4 linked regions of the Canis lupus familiaris genome follow. The protein of the gene in region 2 interacts with the protein of the main gene of each other region in a pairwise test. Links are inferred from orthologs where the notes say so. Each region holds a gene or a part of one and is shown on either strand. Other genes may lie near its edges.

What was found.
Region 1: the proteins of KRT40 (region 2) and FARS2 interact in binary tests that used the Homo sapiens proteins (3 or more experiments, as listed by UniProt). The two-hybrid records come from large-scale screens. The link is inferred for Canis lupus familiaris from reciprocal best matches to the Homo sapiens genes KRT40 and FARS2.
Region 3: the proteins of KRT40 (region 2) and SH2D4A interact in binary tests that used the Homo sapiens proteins (3 or more experiments, as listed by UniProt). The two-hybrid records come from large-scale screens. The link is inferred for Canis lupus familiaris from reciprocal best matches to the Homo sapiens genes KRT40 and SH2D4A.
Region 4: the proteins of KRT40 (region 2) and SHFL interact in binary tests that used the Homo sapiens proteins (3 or more experiments, as listed by UniProt). The two-hybrid records come from large-scale screens. The link is inferred for Canis lupus familiaris from reciprocal best matches to the Homo sapiens genes KRT40 and SHFL.

The regions. Positions count from the first base shown.
Region 1 is NC_049256.1:6,681,459-6,686,874, reverse strand, and holds the start of FARS2 (phenylalanine--tRNA ligase, mitochondrial), read right to left. Parts: upstream 3,687-5,416; 5' UTR 3,560-3,686; intron 3,226-3,559; exon of another isoform or gene 3,009-3,225; intron 1-3,008. UniProt on the Homo sapiens protein: Is responsible for the charging of tRNA(Phe) with phenylalanine in mitochondrial translation.
Region 2 is NC_049230.1:21,657,471-21,663,110, forward strand, and holds the start of KRT40 (keratin, type I cytoskeletal 40), read left to right. Parts: upstream 1-2,360; 5' UTR 2,361-3,151; coding exon 3,152-3,598; intron 3,599-4,092; exon of another isoform or gene 4,093-4,095; coding exon 4,096-4,178; exon of another isoform or gene 4,179-4,437; coding exon 4,438-4,594; intron 4,595-5,309; exon of another isoform or gene 5,310-5,399; coding exon 5,400-5,561; intron 5,562-5,629; exon of another isoform or gene 5,630-5,640. UniProt on the Homo sapiens protein: May play a role in late hair differentiation.
Region 3 is NC_049237.1:22,873,442-22,879,110, forward strand, and holds the start of SH2D4A (SH2 domain-containing protein 4A), read left to right. Parts: upstream 1-1,983; 5' UTR 1,984-2,311; intron 2,312-2,321; exon of another isoform or gene 2,322-2,475; intron 2,476-2,616; coding exon of another isoform or gene 2,617-3,323; intron 3,324-5,066; coding exon of another isoform or gene 5,067-5,142; intron 5,143-5,669. Other genes in the region: collagen alpha-2(I) chain-like, read right to left, coding at 2,617-3,323, 5,067-5,142. UniProt on the Homo sapiens protein: Inhibits estrogen-induced cell proliferation by competing with PLCG for binding to ESR1, blocking the effect of estrogen on PLCG and repressing estrogen-induced proliferation. May play a role in T-cell development and function.
Region 4 is NC_049241.1:51,360,022-51,365,519, forward strand, and holds the start of SHFL (shiftless antiviral inhibitor of ribosomal frameshifting protein), read right to left. Parts: upstream 3,687-5,498; 5' UTR 3,557-3,686; coding exon 3,536-3,556; intron 3,094-3,535; coding exon 2,970-3,093; intron 2,784-2,969; coding exon 2,734-2,783; intron 1,116-2,733; coding exon 1,077-1,115; intron 910-1,076; coding exon 760-909; intron 374-759; coding exon 270-373; intron 133-269; coding exon 1-132.

The sequences.
Region 1 (5,416 bases), on a different chromosome or scaffold from region 2:
CGGTATTTTGTCAGTGATTAGCAAAACATAGGCTGTTTTTTTCTTCCAAACAGCATAGTCAGCACTGCAGATCCTAAGTGTTTTCTGTAAACGACCAACTAATCTGGACAAACAAGAGATGGCAGGTATTACTCCCCACTCAAAGAAGTCCATCAGAGCTTCAAATGGGTCTTTATAAGAATTACTGACATGTTGGTGAACTGCCTGGCAAAGCTGCTGGAAGAGAAAATGCACTTTGAATAAATAATAGCTGTCATTACCATCACACATAGCTGGTTGATTAACAAATCATTAGAAAACATACAAACAAAAAAACATCATTCCTTTAAGTTATCCCTCATAACTAGTATAAAAAATGAAGGTGATCTGTAGCAGAATACTACCATAAACCACACTGTGAAAGAATTCCGAAGTTGGTAGGAGTCTGTATTAGGAAAAGATGGTTTCTTTCCTTCAGAAGGCAAAGAATTTGTTTTAAAAAAAAAAAAAATCCTCTAGAAGTGACATTTGATACACTTTACATAAAATCGATTGTCAGTTTTATTGCTGCTGCCCACAAGGGGAACTCTTATCCTCCAATCAATGAAGTTAGATTATATAGCTGCTTTCTAACTTTCTCAGAGAACAGATTTTCTTAGGTATATTTGAAAAGAGCTTCTATAGAAAGGTGAGTCTCAGAAATTCCCCATGAGATAATAATATCTGTGGCACATAAGAACAGACAACCTAAAAAAGGTATTCGATGTAGGTCTTTTCTAAGACATAGTTATAGGGAAAAAAAAATGGTAATAGAAAAAAATGTAAATTTCTCTTAAAAGACTAAAAAGCGAATATAAAAATCAACATTTGCGATTTTCTGAATATTTGTCAGGGGCTAACCAGTTAGCTTCACAAATAAGTGGGAATCCAACGAAATTAAACTTCAAATACATCTGAAATTTACCCATGTTATCCAAGAAAAATTAAAACACCTCAAACTCCTGAAGCTTCCACTGAAGACTGTCTGTAAAGCAGTGTAGCATCACAGCTAGACAGATCATATCCTGGGCCAATGCCTACCCTCCCCGCTTCCTAGCTGCTTACCTCCAGCTCAGTAATCTAACTTCTCAGCTTCCCTATCTTTAAATGCAATTAACAGCTTTCTTTCCCATCAAGGTTCCAAAGGATTAACTGAGATCCTACAAGGACTCAGCTGGCTTCAGCCCTTTCCGGGTACTTCTCTTGCACTCACCGTCAAGCACTCTCCTACTCCCTCCCTCATAAGGCTTCAGAGTTCTGTAGACCAGGATCATCTTTCCCTAGCCCTCACTCAGACTCTTTCCTTTACCCTTTGTAAGGGTAAACCTACATTCTTCATAACCATCTTACTAATACATCCACATATCCAAATCCCGGAATTCTTTTCAAGATTTAGCTAACCTGAGGATCCCTGGGCGGCTCAGCAGTTGGGCTCCTGCCTTCCGCCCAGGGCATGATCCTGGAGACCTGGGATCAAGTCCCGCACCGGGCTCCCTGCATGGAGCCTGCTTCTCCCTCTGCCTGTGCCTCTCTCTCTCTCTCTCTTTCTCATGAATAAATAAATAAAATATTTAGAAAAAAAAAAGATTTAGCTAACCTAAATTCTCTCAAGCAACATGAATACCACCTCCTCCAAAAGGCCCCCTAATTCCTACAGATCAATGCTTCTCTACCAGACTGCAACCAATCACCTGGGGAATTTTTTTAAAAATCCCTGAAACTTAGTCAAAATCACATTGACTGTCCATCTGAGGGGTGGCCCAGGCCCCAACCATGAAAGTGACCTCTCACGCTGAGACCCCCATAGCACTTCCCCAGTACTCCACCTGAAGCACTCTGTACTTTTAAGATTTTATGTATTTATTCATGAGAGACATGGGGGTGGGGGAGACACAGACACAGGCAGAGGGAGAAGCAGGCTCCCCGCAGGGAGTCCAATGCTGGACTCGATCCCAGGACCCCGGGGTCATGCCCTGGACGCTCAACCGCTGAGCAACCCAGGGGTCCCCAGCTTTCTCTATGTGTAACTTGGACGAATGGTGTCCTTTTCCCAGGTGCCGCCTTTTACGTCATTAGCACTCACATAGCACGGAAAGAAAAAAAAAAAGCTCTAGATCTTACTCCGTAAAAACGTGCAATTCCTTTCTTGAACGTTTAAGCAATGCCCAGGACAAACTCAAACTATTAAAATCTCTTCGAATAATCCTGAGGGAAGACTCGCCCAATGACGTGATCAACCTGCAAGAGCGACAGAAGTTTGGGTATCCTATTTAAAAAAAAAAAAAAAAAGCCTTATTTTGATGTTCATAGAAATGAGAGGCCTTAAAAAAAAATCAAATAGGAGGTTTAAAAAGATTTTAATGAAAGTATGTTTGGGGGAAGCCTGGGTGGCTCAGCAGTTGAGCACCTCCCTTCGGCCCAGGGCGTGACCCCGGGTGTCCTGGGATGGAGTCCCACGTGGGGCTCCCTGCAGGGAGCCTGCTTTTCCCTGTGTGTGTCTCTTGTGAATAAATAAATAAAATCTTTAAAAAAAAAAAAAAAAGTATGTTTGGGGCACCTGGGTGGCTCAGTGGTTGAACATCTGCCTTCGGCCCAGGTTGTGACCCCAGGGTCCCGGGATCGAGTCCCACATCGGGCTCCCTGCGAGGAGCCTGCTTCTCCCTCTGCATGGGTCTCTGCCTCTCTCTCTCTGTGTCTCTCATGAATAAATAAATAAAATCTTTAAAAAAAAAAAGTATGTTTGGGGGACACCTGGGTGGCTCAGCAGTTGAGCGCCTCCCTTGGGCCCAGGTCATGACCCCGGGGTCCCGGGATCCAGTCCCGCATTGGGCTCCCTGCATGGAGCCTGCTTCTCCCTCTCGAGTGTGTCTCTCATGAATAAAATAAATAAAATCTTTAAAATGATAATGATAAAAAAAAAGTATGTTCTCTTCCATGCCTTTTATATTTTTTCTTTTCAAACGCCATTGCATCCCAAGGAGTAACATTACCAAGTGCCATCTGGGTGCACGCAGGGACACCAGGTTGCAAGTACGCTGACGGGCGCTTCCTGCCCCTTAAAGTCCCGGAAAATACCAAGTTCTTGGTGAAATGCAAAAGCCACGTTAACAATCATCCGGTCGGCGGGGCAGCCCGGGGGGCTCAGCGGTTAGCGCCGCCTGCAGCCCAGGGCGTGACCCCAGGGTCCCGGGATCCAGTCCCGCGTCGGGCTCCCTGCGTGGAGCCTGCTTCTCCCTCTGCCTGCGCCTCTGTGTCTCTCATGAATAAATAAGTGAATCTTTAAAAAAAAAATCATCAGGTCGGCTAAATGCACGGAAGCGGCCCCGGCGCCCCAGGTCTCCGCGGGCGCAGCAGCCCGGCCCCGGCCCCGAAGGACCCAGGACCCTGCAAAGCTCGAGAGCTCAGAGCACAGGCGGGGAAGGGGAGCCCCGAGCCAGCGCCCCCGACCGCGGCCGCGACCAGGCCAGCACTCGCCCACCGCCCGCAGGAGACCCAGGCACCCCCAGGCACCCCCAGGCACCCCGCGCTGCGCGCTGCTCACCCCCCCGGGAGGCTCCAAGCCGCCGCCGCACTCGCAGCCTCAGCGAGACCCCCGCAGCTCGCTGGGCGCCGCCATCTTGGCAAGAGAGGGGTCCTTGCTCTCAAGCCCCCAAGCCGGTCGCCCCGAGCGGAGCCGTACAGCAGGGAGTCCCTCGCCCCCACCGCCTCGGCGGCCCCCGCGTCGCGACCCCGCACCCCGGAAGCGCCCTTGCGCTGGGGACCCACAGACACAGCGCGGGAAAGTCAAGGCGCCCCGGAAGCCCGGCTCGGGCCCTCAGGCAGCGCGGAGGGCAGCCCCAGCGCGAGGGGGCGGGTCCTCCGCGGCCGGGGGCGGGGCGTCGAGCGGCGGCGCGCTCGGTAACCATGGCAACGCGGCGGCGGGCAGCTCTCGGGCGGCGGGCTCTGGGCGCTCGAGGCGTCCTCGGGCTCGGCCCCGTCCCGGCGGCTTCCCCTCTGCCCGCCTCGGCCCGCGGGGGGGGGGAGGGGGGAGCGGCCGCGCCCGGGGCCCGCCTCCCGGCCGGCGCCTCCCCCTCGGGCTGCCCCGAGCCCGCCTGCGCCCGCCTGCGCCTGCCTGCCGAGCTCCCGGCCCGCTGGCCGCCCCGGCCCGGCTCCGCCGCGCGGTTCACGCGTCCGCGGCTTTGCCGAGCGGGTTGGGTGACGTCGGGGCCTTCCCGAAGACGCCCCGCTTCGCGGGTTTGTTTGTTTGTTTCCCCCTTTCCAAAATGGCAGCCTCCAGCCGCGCACAAGTGTTAGATCTGTACCGGGCGATGCTGAGAGAGAGCAAGCATTTCAGCGCCTACAACTACAGGTGACGCGGCGGGCGGCGGGCGGCGGGCGGCGGGGCCGGGGGCGGCTTGTGTCTGTCCCGCGGCGGCGGCTTCGGGCCCGGGTGCGGAGCCTCCGCCGCCCACCTGCCTCCCAGGCCGGCCAGCGCGGTCCCGGCGCCTCGGGGGGAGCGAGGGGCGGAGAGGACACGTGCAGGGGAGCAGGGGGGCCTCGGACACCTGGGGGCGGGGGGGAACCTCTGATACCTGGGGCGGAGCAGGGGGGCCTCGGATACCTGGGGACGGGGGGCAGGGGGGCCTCGGACACCTGGGGGCGGGGGGCAGGGGGGCCTCGGATACCTGGGGGGGAGCAGGGGGGCCTCGGACACCTGGGGGGGAGCAGGGGGGCCTCGGACACCTGGGGGCGGGGGGCAGGGGGGCCTCGGACACCTGGGGGCGGGGGGGAACCTCTGATACCTGGGGCGGAGCAGGGGGGCCTCGGATACCTGGGGACGGGGGGCAGGGGGGCCTCGGACACCTGGGGGCGGGGGGCAGGGGGGCCTCGGATACCTGGGGGGGAGCAGGGGGGCCTCGGACACCTGGGGGGGGAGCAGGGGGGCCTCGGACACCTGGGGGCGGGGGGCAGGGGGACCTCGGACACCTGGGGGCGGGGGGCAGGGGGACCTCGGACACCTGGGGGGGGAGCAGGGGGACCTCGGACACCTGGGGGCGGGGGGCAGGGGGACCTCGGACACCTGGGGGGGGAGCAGGGGAGCCTCGGATACCTGGGGACGGGGGGCGGGGGGGCCTCGGACACCTTGGGGGGAGCAGGGGAGCCTCGAATACCTGGGGACGGGGGGCAGGGGGATCTCGGACACCTGGGGGCGGGGGGCAGGGGGACCTCGGACACCTGGGGGCGGGGGGCAGGGGGACCTCGGACACCTGGGGGGGGAGCAGGGGAACCTCGGATACCTGGGGACGGGGGGCGGGGGGGCCTCGGACACCTTGGGGGGAGCAGGGGAGCCTCGAATACCTGGGGGCGGGGGGGCCTCGGACACCTGGGGGGGAGCAGGGGTGGCCTCGGACTCCTGAGG
Region 2 (5,640 bases):
GATGAGAACTAAAGCTATAGATCGTCATACAATACTATCTAATTAATCAAGCCCAAAATAAATAGTCCTGTGTGTTTGTTCTCTCACTACTTTTCTCTCTCTTTCTCTCTCTCTCTCCATATGTCAACATTTTACAAATAGAAATTAGCTCAAGATAAAAGAAAATATTTCTTATTTTTACCTGCAGTTACTTTAAAATAATGACACAATGCTGCATTTTAATTAGCTGAAACCTATGACAGACAACCAAGACACGGATTCTCATTCAGTTACTGTGGAAATTAGATTTTTTTTTTCAGAGATTTGTAACTTTCAATTTTCAAATATGTTTTTGATTCCTTGAACTCCCATCTATTGCAGAACAGCATTAATATACCATCAGTACTCCAAGAATGTGAAATGGGCAGAAGACATGAACAGGCATTTCTCTAAAGAAGACATACAAATGGCTAACAGACACATTAAAAAATCTTCAACATCCGGCAGCCGGATGGCTCAGCGGTTTAGCGCCACCTTCAGCCCAGGGCATGATCCTGGAGACCTGGGATCGAGTCCCACGTTGGGCTCCCTGCATGGAGCCTGCTTCTCCCTCTGCCTGTGTCTCTGACTCTCTCTCTCTCTCTCTCTCTCCTCTGTGTGTGTGTGTGTGTCTCATGAATAAATAAATAAAATCTTTAAAAAAATCTTCAACATCATGCATCATCAGGGAACTACAAATCAAAACCACAATGAGAAAATAAATTTATAAAAAAAAAACACAATGACATACCAACTCACACTGGTCAGAATGGCTAAAATTAACAACTTGGAAACAACAGATGTTGGTGAGGATGCAGAGAAAGGGAAACCCTCACACACTGTTGGTGGATATGCAAGCTGGTGCAGCCACTCTGGGAAACAGTATAGAAGTTCCTCAAAAAGTTAAAAATAGAACTGCCTTACCACCCAACAGTTGCATTACTAGATATTTACCCAGAGGATACAAAAATAGTGATTCGAAGGGGCACATGCACCCCAATGTTTATAGCAGCACAATCCACAATAGCTAAAACATAGAAAGAGCCCCAATGTCCAACAACTGATGAATGGATAAAGATGTGATATATATATATATATATATATATATAATATTCCATTACATATAATGAAATATTAATCAGCCATCAGAAAGAATGAAATCTTGCCATTTGCAACAATGGCATGGGTGGTGTTATGCTAAGCAAAATAAGTCAGTCAGAGAAAGACAAATACCATATGATTTCACTCATATGGAATTTAAGAGACAAAACAGATGAACATGGGGAAGGGAGAGGGAAAATAAAATAAGACAAAGACAGAGAGGGAGGCAAACCATAAGAGACTCTTAAACATAGGTAACAAACTGGGGGTTGCTGGAGGGGAAGTGGGTGGGGGGATGAGGTAACTGGGTGATGGGTATTAAGGAGGGCAAGTGATGGTATGAGCACTGGTTGTTGTATGCAACTGATGAATCACTAAATTCTAAATTCTACCCCTGAAACTAATACTACACTATATGTAAACTAACTTGAATTTAAATAAAATCTTGAAAGATAAAAAAAGAACATTTAGCATTAAGTGTTGAAATGTGAAGAGAATCACTAAAATCAAACCCAAGAGTCTACAACCATACCACCCTGAAAGTGTTCCAATCCTATCTGATCTTGGAAGCTAAGCAGGGTCAGGCCCGGTTAGTATTTAGATGGGAGAGTAATACATACTAAGGGACTATTTAAGTCCATCTATTTAAGACCTCTTGGTTTGTTTTTGGTTTTGGTTTTTCCATCATCAGCTACCTAGGAAGTAGTGTTCAGAGTTAGAAAAAAATTTTTAGTTTTTTCTGGATCATGAAAATTTTAACTTTGTCAGAATAGTGGGCCTTTTCCAGTAAAAATCTTAAAGATTCTAGAGGCAATCTGTTCTGCCCACCTTTGAAAATGAAATACATACCACAATTATGCCAAGGAAAGTGAAAGAGATTATGCTACATACATAATAGAGATGAAATTCAAAACAAAATCCAAAAAAGTTATGTCTCAAATCGCTATCCATTTGGTACTGCACCAGGGATTTCATCCAATGGAACTCCTGGTCTGGAACTCAAATTATAAAATTTTATTCCCCAACGCCAGTATTTCACATTTTTATGAAATTGTGACCTTAAAAAAATAAGTAAATAAGAGAAAACAGATTCTATCTCAGAAGAAAAGTCTTTTATAGCTTCCTTGCCCCTATTCTGAACTGTATCCAATGAGGGTTTAGTTTCCCAAGAAACTAAAAGATTGTAACTTAGAAATTGTATTTCACTCTTATTATTAATACAGGTGAAAATAGTATACATAATCTAAAAATGAGGCATAGGTAACATAGAGAAAGCAAGTTTCAGGAAATCAAAGATCACAACTCCAGATCTTGATAACCAGTTTGTATTTTGGCCTGCAGGCCACAGATTATGCCCATCAGTTATTTATAAAGTGACTTTTCAATTTGCACACAGGTAGATGTAGTTCATACACACACACACACACACACACATATGCATGTGCACACACACTTTAAACCCAGTACACACCTCACTCCTCTACCATGTGAGCACAACAAGACCATAAAAAGCATTGCAAAGATGGTTAACTACATGGAACATTTTATGATGGTACACAAACAAATAAATGGCATTTAATGAGATGTAATATGAATTTTAAAAGGATAGATAAACAATTTACAATACAGGAGCAAAATCTGTGATAATATCATTTTTGTTATTTGTAATCAGTTGTATCTGCAATTACTGAGTGCCAAATGTCCTCTGCCTTTCTGTATTCTACCAAAAAGATAATGCATCTCATGAAGATTCTCTGAACCAAGCGTCTTATCCTACTGGCAGATGGAAATATTGCCCTTACTTAGTAACCTGAAGCTATGCCTCTTTTATGAGGCATAAAACTTCCTCAGAAAACAAACAACACTAATGAATGTTCATATGAAAACTGGCACCAACAGTGATAAACAGAACATCCGGTATGTTCTGTAAATACCCATTTGCAGGCTGTATAAAAGTCTCAGGAGGGATGGAGACTCTGGGAACCAGTCAATTGGAGTTTTGCAACTAGTCTTGTTCTTCACTTCTAATAGGATGACTTCTGACTGTTTCCCCACGTGCTGCTCTTCTGAATCCTGTGCCCAGGCTTCCGACTGTGCACTTGCTTCAACCTGTTCCATGGAGGCCACCTGCCTCCCCAGTGCCCCTGCTACATCCAGATGCCAGACCCCTAGCTTCCTATCCAGGTCTCGCTTGCCAACTAGTTGCCTCACACCATGCTACTTTGCTGGGAATTATAATATTCCTTGCTTGGTGGGGAACTGTGCTTGGTGTGAGGATGGGGTGTTCAACAGCAATGAGAAGGAGACGATGCAGTTCCTGAATGACAGACTTGCCAACTATCTAGAGAAGGTCCGTGGCCTGGAAGAGATGAACGCAGAGCTCGAATGCAGGATTCGAGAACAATGTGAAGAGGATATCCCACTGGTGTGCCCTGATTATCAGTGTTACTTTGACACTATTGAAGAGCTTCAGCAAAAGGTCTGGTGTTTCATTGCCCTAATGCTTCACCCTCCCAATCTGTGATTTGCTTTATCTTTATACTAAAAAAAAGGCTGTTCTATGGAAGTTCCCCCCATCCCCAGGGAAAGGGGTTCTCCAGGAGGAAAAGGTGGTGGGCTGAAATTCAGCAAAAATTAGCATGAGCCGTGGGGCTGCCAGTAATCATTGAATGGCCAAAATAAACTCACTCACAACTACCTATGGAGAAAAATCCAAGTTCAACTGCCAAGGAATATTGCAAAATGTTTTAGGCCACTGAAAAACGGACCCTTTTTATTTCTATATTTATTTTATGAATGGTCCTGCTTTTTTCTTCATTGAAGTGACATGCTTAATAAGAAAAATAGGCTTCAAGCTATTTTATACTGTCTTATAAAGACTTTTAAAAGATAAATAATGGTATAGTTGTTAAATGAATAAATATTTAAGTTTCTTTCAAAGAGCCCTCTAGTATATATAACTAACTTACTTACCAGATCTTATGCACGAAGGCAGAAAATTCCAGACTTGCTGTGCAACTTGACAACTGCAAACTGGCTGCTGATGACTTTAGGTCAAAGTAAGTTAAATTTGAATTTGAAAATAATTCATGGCTGTCTCTCTCTCTCTCTCTCTCACACACACACACACACACACACACACACGTGCACACTACAAATATTCTCTACATAAGCTTTTTTTAAGCTAAGAATGCTCACAAAGCTCACATTAATTGGGATATAGCTTCCTTGAGTCGTTGTGTCATTCATCAGCATGCCCAGCATCTTGCACAGTGTCTAGCAAAATAAGCACCATCTGTATCTCTTTTGCTGTGAAAGGTATGAGTCTGAACTGTCTCTTCGCCAGCTGATAGAGACGGACATTGGTGGCCTGCGTGGGATCCTGGATGAGCTGACTCTGTGCAAAGCTGATCTGGAGGCCCATGTGGAGTCTCTGAAGGAAGATCTCCTTTGCCTTAAGAAAAACCACAAAGAGGTAAGGAAAGTGTAAAATTGCTGAATGAATGTGGAGGTGACAAAGTCAAACTGATAGATTTCGTTTTGTGTATATAAATCAAACTCGGGCAGATATTGCTAAAGCTGGAACAAAATTACTCGAGGCACTAATGTCCAGCCTGATGACTCTGGCATATCTCTGGGTGTATATGTGAAATGGGCCCTGGCTAGTACCACTTGAAAGACCAAATTGTTCACCTGCTATTGCTTTCGTGAAGGAGGTAACTTTACAAATGGCTTTCCTTGGAGGCTTTATGCCACATAACTCTAATCCATAAGCTACAAAAATCAGGCTGATAAACACAGGGCATGAAGGCCATTTCAGAAAGGGGATAACATCTTATGCAATATTTGGACCAATATTTTAAAATATTCTACATCTATAAACTTTCTAAATCATAAAATACGAAGTATATGACTATCTCATGTTGATAAAGCTAAAAAGTGAAAAACTTAATGATGTAAAATGGTATATTTTCCCTTTGAGCATGTGTTGATGATAATAGCATTTATTGAGACCTTCCTATGTGCCAAGGACTTTCATAAGTGCTTTATATGAACATCAACTCATATCTCTCACAATAACTCTCTAGGAAAGGTAAAATTATTATACACCTTTTGTGGATGCAGAGACTGAATGATGAAAAGAGAGTCAACCTAAGCAATCTGAATCTAAATCCCACACTTTTACTCACTTCTCCAGAAATTGGATGCTCTTGGGATGTCAAGGTGAATTCTTCTTCCCCACCACTCTGTGACTTTCTTTACTCCATTTCCTCTTTCAGGAGGTTGACTTGCTTCGTGGACAGTTGGGTGACCGACTCAGTGTAGAGCTGGACACTGCCCCCACCATCGACCTCAACAGGGTCCTGGAAGAGATGCGTTGTCAGTATGAAACCGTGCTGGCCAACAACCGTAGAGACGTGGAAGAATGGTTTGCTGTTCAGGTCAGTACCCAGAGCAAGAAAATGACAAGCTTCCAGACTTCTGCCTTATTTGCATCCTCTAATCATACCTGGTTTACAG
Region 3 (5,669 bases), on a different chromosome or scaffold from region 2:
AGTGTTGTTGATTAGGAATTGGAGAGTGGCTTAATTAGGTGGTTGCATGAATTTGTACCGAAGCTATAAGCCAATGCTGCAGCCACCCAAAGGCTTGACTAGGGCTGGAGGATTCACTTCCAAATTGATTCTGTGGCTGTTGGCAGGAGTCCTCAATTCCTCCCCAAAGGTTTGCTCATGACGGAGCAGTTGACTTCCTTTAGAGTGAAAGATGAAAGAGAAAGAGAGAAAGAGAGAGAGAGAGAAAGAGAGAGAGAGAGAAACCAAGACAAGCTACAAGGTTTTTTTAAAAAAATTATTTTTATTTATTTTGTTAATTTCAACTCTTATTTTTAAATGTTAAACTTATTACAGGCTGATCAAGTAAGATCAAAAATGACTTCTTTAAACATGCAATATTTGAAATTAGAAAGTTTTGACTTAGAACTAATATTTTTTAAGTTGCAAGAGCATTTTATGAAGATGTTGCCTGTTTCAAATATAGAGTAGGATCTTCTCTTTCACTCCACTTTTTAAGACCAGCAAAGACCAGGGATATGTTTCTTTGGGTTCTCCAAATATTCCATCAGAGTTTCCTCTCCACAGATAACCCCTTTGTTTTTGATAGCACTGGAATAAGAAAATCCTAGTGCTTGTCCTGTTTTTCATCTCAAAAGGCCCAGGGATTTGGACCAGTCTTGTGTTTTCCACTTTTTTCCACTGTGTGGCACTGAGTACATTTAAAAAAAAAAAAAAAAAAGAAGATTTTATTTATTTATTTGAGAGAGAGAGCACAAGCAGAGGGAGCGGCAGGCAGAGAGAGAGAGAGAAGCAGACTCCTCACTGAGCAGGGAGCTCCATGTGTGGCTGGATCCCAGAACCCTGATCACCACTGAGTGGAAGGCGCACATTTAACCGACTGAGCCACCCAGGTGCCCCCACATTTTTAAATAAAGATCTTCTTGCCTGCTTCAGCATCTCCCATCTTGTTCACAGGGTTAGCGGCTCTGCCCACTGCTTGCATGGAGAACACTTAGCAGTCACCCAGGCTGCTGGTGGGCCAGAAAGTGCACTACAAATTTGAGGCTGGTGTTCTCACAGTCGTGCCTCAAAGACCAGTGCTGGATGCCCAGCCAGGCATGTGCTCACGTCTTTTACAACCTAATCTCAGAAGTGACATACTGAGGAGGTGGGGATGGATCACTGAGGTTAACATGGAGTCTAGGTACCACACAAGGCAAAATCCAAGGTCTGAGTATGAAGTTATAACTTGAAACTGCAGTATGTGATGTGAAATAGTATAAGCTAATGTATTTGTACATTCACCAGTCCACGAACTATTCTAAGCACATTACATATATCATCTCATTTAACCTTCACAACAACTTCATGAGGTAGGCGTTGTTATTATCCAGAAGGGAAAACCGAAGTACAGACAGGTTAGTGGCCAAGTGGGAGTACTCTTATAAAGAAAGACTTATCAGCACATGAACTTGAGCGTCGGGGAAGGTCATCCGCTGCAACCAGTGTCCGTTGTAGGAAAATTTTACTGACTGATGAACCACCTGTTAGTTCTTCAACTGCTGGATCCATGAAATGGGAGGATTCATTTTCAGCTGGCCACAGCCGCTACCCAGGGGCAAGAGACAATCCAGCCAAATGCAGTCACAGGCCATTCATTTAATAAGCAGTGGGAACCAAAAGTAAACCAGAAATTCTCCCCTGATGCGATCCCTAGAATGGTTCCTAAATAGGTTCTCAAGGACTTCTCTCTGCCCCCAAGGCTCTTTCTAACTTTGAGTAACTTCTGAGGTCTAGAGAAGTTAGGAAGAAGAAAGTTTCACTTTTGAAGGAAGCCAATCAGACCCCTGAATGTATCAGGTGGGCTGTGGAGAGGACTAGAGAAGGCTCAGTGTTCTTGACTCCTCCCCACCATGCGCAGGGTGGGGTTCCCCAGAGCAGGCTATTTCTCCGCGCACATTCCCAACGCTCCTGCACAATGGAAAACGCCCTGCAACGTTTCTACTCGCTTCTGCCCAACTTTCCTGTACTCCGTCAGCTCCTCCCTTCCGGCACCACCCCAACCTGTTCTTGCTGCTATTCACAAGATTCCTTTACCTTCTTTCCTTTCTCCAGAGTTCTTTCATTTTTCCCTCCGTGTCTGTTGTTTGCAGCCTGCATCTTTCCAGCCTTTCGCCTCCTTGATTCTGCCCTACAAAGCTTTGTGGCCTGTGCTGACAAGTGCCCGAGTGTCTGATAAATGACTTTAATGTCAACAAACGGGGGCGGGGCGGGTAGAGTAAGCTCCGGGAGTCGGGAGGCGACCCGGGAGGTGAGCTGACTCGGCCTGCTGGGGCTGTCCGTGTGACCGAGGCCTCCCGCCTCCGCAGGCCCGGGCTTGCAGGAGCCCTTGAGCCCCGCGGCGGAGCAGGCCCGGGCCGCTGACACCACTGCGTCCCGCGGCCGAGAGGGCGCGGCGGCCTCGGCGGGCTGCAGGTGGGGGGCGGCGGCCTGGCCCCCACACGCGGCAGCTCGGGGCCGGGTGCCCGGGCTGGGGGGTCCCCTGGGGCAGCAGGCCGCGCCGACGCCTGGGCCTGGAGCGCGTCCAGGGGCCCGGGTGGGGCCGCGAGCACCCAGTCAGCCGCTGGGGCACGCGGGCCGCGGGTGGGGCAGCGCGGGCGGGCGGGCGCGCAGGGACACTGTTTGCACAAGCGAGGCCGAGGGTTTGAGCCGCCTTCCCTCCGTCTCGGCCCCGCTGGACGCCGCGTGGCCCGGGGCCACCTGCTGGGGAGCGCGGGCCCCGCCCGGTAGGTGCGGGGGGCGGCGGGGCCAGGGGGCAGAACGCGGGACCGTGCGGGTGGGGGCGCGGGAGGCGCCGGCCCCAGGGGGAAGGCGAGCACTTCTGGGGCACCGGGAGGGGCGCGGGCGCGTCACCAAGCCCAGGCGGCCGGCGGGGGTGGGCGAGCCGGGAGCGCCGGAGCACCCGCGGGGCCTGTGCCTGCCGTGGGTCCGGGCCTCCTCCGCGGCCCGGCACCGCGCTCCCGCCCCCGCCGACGAGCGCCCGCGCCCGCGCCCGCGCGGAACTCCGCCGCCCAGACCTTCCGGGACCGCGGGGCAGCCGGCTCCCCGGGGCCCGCCCGCAGGACGGCAGCCCAGCCTCGGTCCTCCCAGTCGGGTGGGCGCCCTGCCCGCCCCTGCCCGCTCTGGCCCTCGGGTTCGCGGGGGCACCGAGAGCCGCGCGCGCAGGTGCCAGTTTATAGGCTTCCTTAACGGTATCGTTCCCTTCCCAGGGCGCAGGGCGCAGGAGCAAGGGCACCTCTCTCTAATCTTAGTCTCCTCACCTCCTAAAAGGGTTTTTTGTTTGTTTGTTTAAGTAAACACGAGCACCCGCCTGAACTCAGAACAGGGAAATCAAGATTGCGCATGCCCTACCCGCAGAGCCAGCCAGGCCCCCGCCTGAGAGGCTTCGGATTGCGGACGGAATACTAACGACTTGGAGCTTTAGAAAGTGAATAAACACGTGGAAGTCCTATGCAGGCGTAGATTTGGCCCATGAGTGCAATTTCCTAGATAAATCTGTACAGTCGTTTCACATTTCTGAAGAATGGCACATATGTACAAAACTTACCAAATTGCTATCACCTCTGGTAAATCATTTTATCCTCAAAAATAGCCCTTTTGGGGCACCTGGGTGGCTCAGTGGTTGAGTCGGCCTTGGACTTAGGTCCTGATCCCCAATGAGTCCCTCATCCGGCTCCCCACAGGAAGCCTGCTTCTCCCTCTGCCTACGTGTCTCTCTCTCTGTCTCTGTCTCTCATGAATAAACAAATAAAATCTTTAGAAAAAAAATAGCCCTTTTGCAGATAAACTCTATTAAGTGAAGTTGAATAAGATAAATGAAAATCTGAAAATAGCCAGCCATTTTAAAAGAAGTACAATTCAAACTATATTCAAACTATATTCATTTTCTTAAAAGATTGTATTTATTTATTATTTATTTATTTATTTGAGAGCGAGAGAGGCAGTAGGGGGAGGAAAGGGGGGACAGGGACAGACTCCATGGTCAGTGCCAAGCCAAAGGCAGGACTCAATCCCACTACCCTGAGATCCTGACTTGAGCCAAACCAAGAATGGGATGTTTAACTGACTGAACCACACAGGTGCTCTAAATTATATTCTTACCATTAAAGTTTTACTGTCCATATTACATTACTGCTATAATTTAGGCTTTATCTACCTGCCCCCCCCCCCCAAGGTCTTAGAATCATGAGAAACACAATTTTTATTTTGTCGAACAGGGCTATGGATGATGTGAGAGTCAGGCCAAATGTATGTTATCCTGGAAAACAACTGATCCTATCACCCTTTAGAAATTTAGTTTTGGAATAAATAGCAGATTTGGGCTTGTTGCTTGTCATTTCCTTTTTTAAGTAAAGTGCTATATGAGAAGAAAACTGAGTTAGCTTAGCTTTTCTTTTTATTGGATCTTGAATAACTGGAAGTTTGCTGCTCTCAAGTGTGTTAGATGAGGAAAGTCATTCAAAGTTTGAATCAGTGTCAGTGGTTGTCCTTTCAGGGACTGAAAGTGGGAAAAACCCTGGTTAGTTTCCTCATTCCTGTTTCCTCTACCCTACCTCCACTTGTGTCTGTAACTTCACATAGACTATGACATAGTCTTCACATTACAAAGATGTATGGTGCAGTTCCTCATTTCACGAATGGGAAAACAAAGTAGTGAAATGACAGCTGAAGGGCACACAGCTCTTCAGAAGCTCATGCTGGGGTCCTTGCTAGGTGTTCTGTGATCACCCTGTGCTGAGTTTTCCTTCTGAAAGTGTAAGGGAGGAAGGAGTTAATTCACAGCCTTAGAATGGCATGAATATTATTCATCTGCCTGACTCCAAGGCAAGTGCTAGCTGAGTATCCACTGAGGACACAGGGAAGCCAGTGTCTTTCCTTCGAGATCCAGCAGTTAAGTTTAATGCTAAAAATCCATGTTTGCCAGAAAAGGCAAAACAAACTCAAATTAAAACTGTGAAAGAGCATGAGTGTCTCATGGAACTCTTCACACCTGTGAGAGGCTGTACCATTTGTGCAACTCCTGATGGCTGTGAGAGGGGAAACTGAGAACACGAAGTACCTGTGAATCAAGTCGGCAAACATGTACACATGGGCCACTGTAACATTTCCCTGCTTCCTTCCTTGGGGGAGGTCTTTTTCATACCTGACCTCCCCTCAGCTTATCTACAGTTACCTAGATGAGGCTTCTGCCCCTCAGAGGCATTGTGTGTCACGCACCTTCAAGTCAGCATTTACATTGCTGTAAGATCCTACTGTTCTTCATTCTGAAATTTCATACATGGTACCATATCCTGATGATATGCTGATTCTGAGCTTATAGAGAAACTCTGTTGTGCTATTGGAGGACAGTAGAGCCAACTTAGAGTCAGACTGCCCAGTTCTGCCACTCTCCATCTTCTTCATCTGTGAAAGGGCAGTAGGGATCCCCAGGGTAACTGTGAAAATATAATAAGTTAATACATTCAAGGTGCTTGAGGTAGTGGCTGGCACAGTGCGTGCAAGCTCTTATCGTTGGGAGTACTGCGGGCAGGGGAGAGGGGAACAATGTGAATTTGGCCCTTTCAGGGTTCCAGGTTTTAGGCCATGCTATCCCTGTTGCTAAGATTCAC
Region 4 (5,498 bases), on a different chromosome or scaffold from region 2:
GCCGAGCAGGAGTGGGTGTGGGTGCTGCGGCGGTCGGTGTCTCGGTCCCAGCGCGGAGGGAGGATCCGTGTTGGATACACAGGGAAGCCGCACCCATAGCAGGGGGATGAGGATCCCATCTGTGCCCAGCCCCTGGGGGCGGGCAGGGCGGCAAGGGTCCAAAGGTAAGGCCTGGGCCAGGGTGAGGGCAGGGCAGGGGTTGGGGAAGCAGGGTGGAGGGTGGGGCGGGGGGGCAGGGCGGAGGGTGGGGTGGGGGTCAGCACCCTCACCGGAAGTTGTGCCGACACTTTGGGCAGTGGAATTCAGCCACACCCCACATCTTGTCGCATGGCACCGGCTCATAGCGCTTTCGGCATTTCCTGCACCGGGACACCTGGGTGTGTAGAGTGGGAGCAGGCTCCCCGTTAGCAGTGAGCCCCAGTAGCTCGATAGTGGCCGCAGTGGGGATGCTTACACCATGGAAACTGGCAAACACTACAGAGCTGGGGCACTCCCCCCACCTCCCCGCGCTAGCTGGGTGGTAAGCCTTTACCAGAAGCACACCACTACTGGGGTGGGGGTCAGAATCCAGACTTGGGATTGGGATTTCCATGGCAGCGTGGAGTCAGAGGTCGGGCTCTGGGCGCGACCAGGGTCGGAGGGCTGGGGCCTGAGGTGGAGGCTGAACGCTCTGAGACTGTAGGTCAGGGGTTGGGCTCTCAGGGGTTGACATTCTTAGGTCAGAGGTTCAGATACTGAGGATGGGGATCGGGTGATCACCTCCTTGCGCTGGGGCACGCGCCGCCACCAGACGTGGTCACAGGAGGAGCAGGCAAACTGCCGATCGACGGCGGGAATGAGGTCTTCTTGCGCACGTTGGAACATGCGGAGGTTGGCTTCTGTCAGTGGCAGGAGGGACGTCGCCACGGCCTTCGGGATAGGGACAAGAGGGTGGTCACGCCTCCTCCGCTAATATGAACACGCGTAAGTCTCCTCTCCTGCTGCTATAATGTCTCTCCTCGTCCATGGACACCATCCACTCTCCCCAAGGATGTCCTCCTCACTCCACCTCCCCCCATCCCATACCCCGGACTCACCTGGATGTCCTGGTCCTGCTTCATGTCCTCCGGTGGGTCCTGGGTGGAAACATCAGGGGCAGGAACTGCGGGTGCAGCTCAGACCTCTTTTTACCATTATTTGTTGGGGGTGAGGCTCCTGGACGAGGAGGGAGGCAGGGTCCTGGCCCCATATGAGTAGGGAGTCCCTAACTCAGGAAGGGCTGTCTGAGCAGGGCCTGCCTGTAGATGGCCAGGTACACGACCTCAGTTGTCCTCACAGTGGAGGGCACACCTATTATCCCCACCGCTCAGACAAAGAAACTGAGGCAGAGCTGGGAGAGGGGTGGCCGGAGATCACCCTGAATGAGAATGGCAGAAGAGGCCTGGATCCCCGCGCTCCCTCCCTGCTGGTAAATGCCACACACTTGGTGGCACTGTGAGGGGTCACCTCTTTGAGTCCATGCCGCTTTAGGCTAAGGGCTTGGGCTCTGGATTCAGACAGACACAGGTTCCCATCCGACTCCAGCACTTCCCGCTGCGAGGGCGGAGCCAAATCACTCCCCCTGCATCCCTAATGAGGGGCATCTCAGAGCGCAGCTATGGTTCTAGGTGGAAACGGCTTAAATGCCACCTGCTTGGCCTGCTTGGCGAGTGCCTTCAGGTTGGAATTGGAGGCAACACGCGGAAAGCCTGCTGCTGGGGAGTGCTCACTTTCCTATAATTTTTTACTTTTATTTTTAATTTGTTTATTATTATTTTTTAAAGGATTTTATTTATTTATTCATGAAAGACACAGAGAGAGAAAGGCAGAGACGTAGGCAGAGGGAGAAGCAGGCTCCAGGCAGGGAGCCCGATGTAGGATTCGATCCTGAGACCAAGGATCACGCCCTGAGCCAGGGGCAGGTGCTCAACCGCTGAGCCACCCAGGCGTCCCTCCTATAATTTTTTAAAGAATTATTTTCAGTAGGCTCCACACCTGATGTGGGGCTTGAACTCACGACCCTGAGATCAAGAGTAGCATGCTCCCCAGACTGAGCCAGCTAGGCGCCCCTCCTATTACCTTTATCATACCCTTTACACATGTAAATATAAATAACTCAATATGTACCTTATTATACTCTTCAGCAACTATGGGGGGGGCCTTATAGGAAGATGAAATGCACAGTGCACTGGCCACCAAAGTCATTTAAGGTGTAAAGTAGCCATGTTGCATTTGTGCCTCAAAGCCATTCATTCATCATATGGGCTCCCCTGCCCTCTCTCCTCCCCCATCTCATGTTTATCTTAGCCTGTCTTGCGTGTTCTTTTGCTCACTCTGTTCCCTCTTCCAGGAAGACTGTTTCCAACTCCCCCACCACCCAGGATCCCTTCTCCCCAGCATCAAAGCTGGCACCACCTCTTCCAGGAAGCCTTTCCCGACTGACCTCCAGGGGTCCTCTGTAATGACATCAGTCCTGATTCATTTCACCGCCCAATTTCACGATTCTCTCCCCCACTTAATACCACCAACATGTAATGAGTGCCGACAGTTTGCAGGCTCCCGGGTCAGACGCATGACTAAAAGGTGACTAAGTCAATGTGGATCATGAACTAGGAACTGGTGGTGCACAGATGGGGCTCATCATGGATACACCAGGTTCCTTCCGTTCCCGGTCCCCAGCTACCCCATCCTTGGAGGGCAAGAGGGGCAGTTTACCTGGGCATCCAGGTCATTACTCAGTTCCTGTCCATCTTTCTGCTTTACCCCTGGTGGCAAGAGTTAAGTGTAAGTAAAAGGTCCTTGAAGGATCTTCTGGGAGTTTCAGGGTCCCCAGAACCCCAATATAGACCCTCCCCAGAAGATGAGCGCGGCGCTTCTTCACACAGACCACACCTCCCTCGCGCGCTCCCCCCTCCTCTCCCCTACCAGGGCCGGGACCCCAGCCGGCTCACCGTACACGATGGAGCGCCCCACTCCGGTGTGGTCGCTGCCAAATTTCCTCATCAGAGTCCCCGCCTTCTTGGAGGATACCTTCCCATGAAACTTCTCCCGGAGGCGCCGGACGCTTTTCTCCAGCTGGGGTGGGCACAGGGGGGTTCCGATCGGGGAAGGAGAGGGGCGACTTGCCCTCCTCCATCTCTAGGCATCCTTCTCCCCGCCCGAACTTGACCCTTGCTTTTGGCCTCCCCCACCATCCCTCTACGGCATTTCCTGGGAGAAGCCAAAGTCCCCACCGGGCATTGGGGGAGGGAGCGGAGTGGGGCGAGCGCCCCCGGCTAGGGGAGGAGGCCGGCCAGGTAACCTGGCCTCTGACCCTTGACCCTGCAGCCCCCCTTTTCCTCGAGGAGGCCGCATCTCACTCTGGGGGGCCGGGGCGGTCATTATCCTTTCCGAGGGGGGGCGAGTGCCCGCCAGGGGTAAGGTCTGGGCTTCGGATGGAGTCCCCAGAACTGCGAAGCCCCCTCGGCGCCCCCGGCGCCTCTCGGGGGCCCCCGGCCCAGGCGCAGGCATCTCCTACCTCCACACCTTCTTGAGACATGGTGGCGGCGGCGGCGGCGCGGGTTCCGCGAGGGGCCGCACTGCGCGCTCGGAGCCCCCCTACCTGGGCGCGCCCGGGTCCAGCAGCCGCGCAGGGCAGGGGGCGGGGCCTCCGGGCGGCTCCGCCCTTCCTTCTCGGCCCCCTCTTTCGCTTTCGATTGCTGGGGGTGACGGCGTGGACGGGGCGCTCTGGCTCCGCCCCGGCTCCGCCTCTGCCCTCGCGCCCCAGGCCCCGCGGGCGCCGGGGGTCTGCACCCTGCGGCGGAGCGCGCGGGCCTCGGGCGGTGGAGGCGGCGCGGCCTCTGCAGTCGGTCACATGTCCCCACGCTGCGCGGGGTCCGCGTCTTCACGTCCCTCGTGGGGGCGGGGCCGCATCGCAAGGCCGCCGCGAATCTCCGGGCCCCCCCCAGCTCGCGCTTCCCCACTTCATCGCTCTCGCAGCTCCCCTCCCTCGGGACCTGGGGCCCCTCCTCGCTCTGAGGCTCTTCCGCGGCTACGTCCGGACCTGTCTGCACCTCAGTTTACTCCTCTGTAAAATGGGGATGATAACAGCGGCTACATCGTGGCTGGGTGTGATTGCCAGGATTCGAGACCCGGGGTGGAGCGCTTAGTAGCACCTGGCATGGGGTAGCCTAACGAGTCACTAAGCCGCCTACTGTGTGCCACAGCTGGAGGTAGTTGGGCGAAGGAGGAGATGCTTGTTGGATAAATAGAGGTCACTGGTGCCTAGCAGTCCAGCAACAGCCTGTAGTCCAGGGGTGCCTGGGAATCTGCACTGTAAATCGGAAGGTTGAGAATCCTCTGGGCCAGCACAATTTTTTTTTTCCCCTGAAATAGGCTCCACACCCAAGGTGGGGCTTGAACTCGTGACCCTGAGATCAAGAGTCACATGCTCCACCCACTGAACCAGCCAGAGGCCCCTATTACATAAAGCTATTCTTTAACACACACGCACACACACACACCAAAAGAAACGGAGATGAAAAAGTATAGATGTTCTAATGTTTTCTACTTGACCTCCAAAGCTTTGTTTGTGGGTCTGTGTGCCCCGTCTGGAGCCTATTAATGAGTGTAAACAGTTCATGGTTCTTTGTGACTGAATGTGGAATTTCAGGCTGAGAGCCAGGCCTGTAGCTGCATAGAGGACCTGGGATTTTATACTGAGGGAGGTGGGGAGGTGTGGAGGGGCTCTCTTGTTATACACGTATCTGTGATATATAGTACATAATCTCCACTTACCAGTGAGGAGAAGGAGGTCGCAGCCAGGGTGGGTGACAAGCAGGGAGGAAACAGGTGGGAAACTGATCCAGCTCCGACATGAACCAGATCTGCTAGATTCTTTCTTTCTTTCTTTCTTTCTTTCTTTCTTTCTTTCTTTCTTTCTTTCTTTCTTTCTTTCTTTCTTTCTTTCTTTCTTTCTTTCTTTCTTTCTTTTCTTTCTTTCTTTCTTCTTTCTTTTTTTCTTTTTTTTCTTTTTTAGAGAGAGGCAGTGAGCCTTTGAACAGGGGGAGAGGGGAGAGGGTGAGGGAGAGAGAGAATCTTAAGCAGGTTCCACACCCAGTGTGAGCCCGAAGTGGGCTAGATCTCACAACCTGGAGATCACATCCTAAGATGCAACCAAGAGTTGGGATGTTTAACTGACAGAGCCACCCAGGCATCCCCAGATCTGCTAGATGCTCACGATGATGGCCATCATATCGAGCTCTGACTCTGCGCCAGGCACCATTCCAGGCACTGAGCATCGAACTGTCTCATATAGTTTTTTGTGGATTAGGAATTTAGGGATGCTTTTGCTGGGCTTTCTGGCCCAGGGTCTCTCATAAATATTGTGGTCAAGATGTTGGCCAGGGCTGCAGTCACCTGAATGTTTGAGGCTGGAGGGTCTGCTTCCAAGATGGCTCATTCAACCTGGCTGGCTGGTGGGTGCTGGTTGTTGGGTGCTG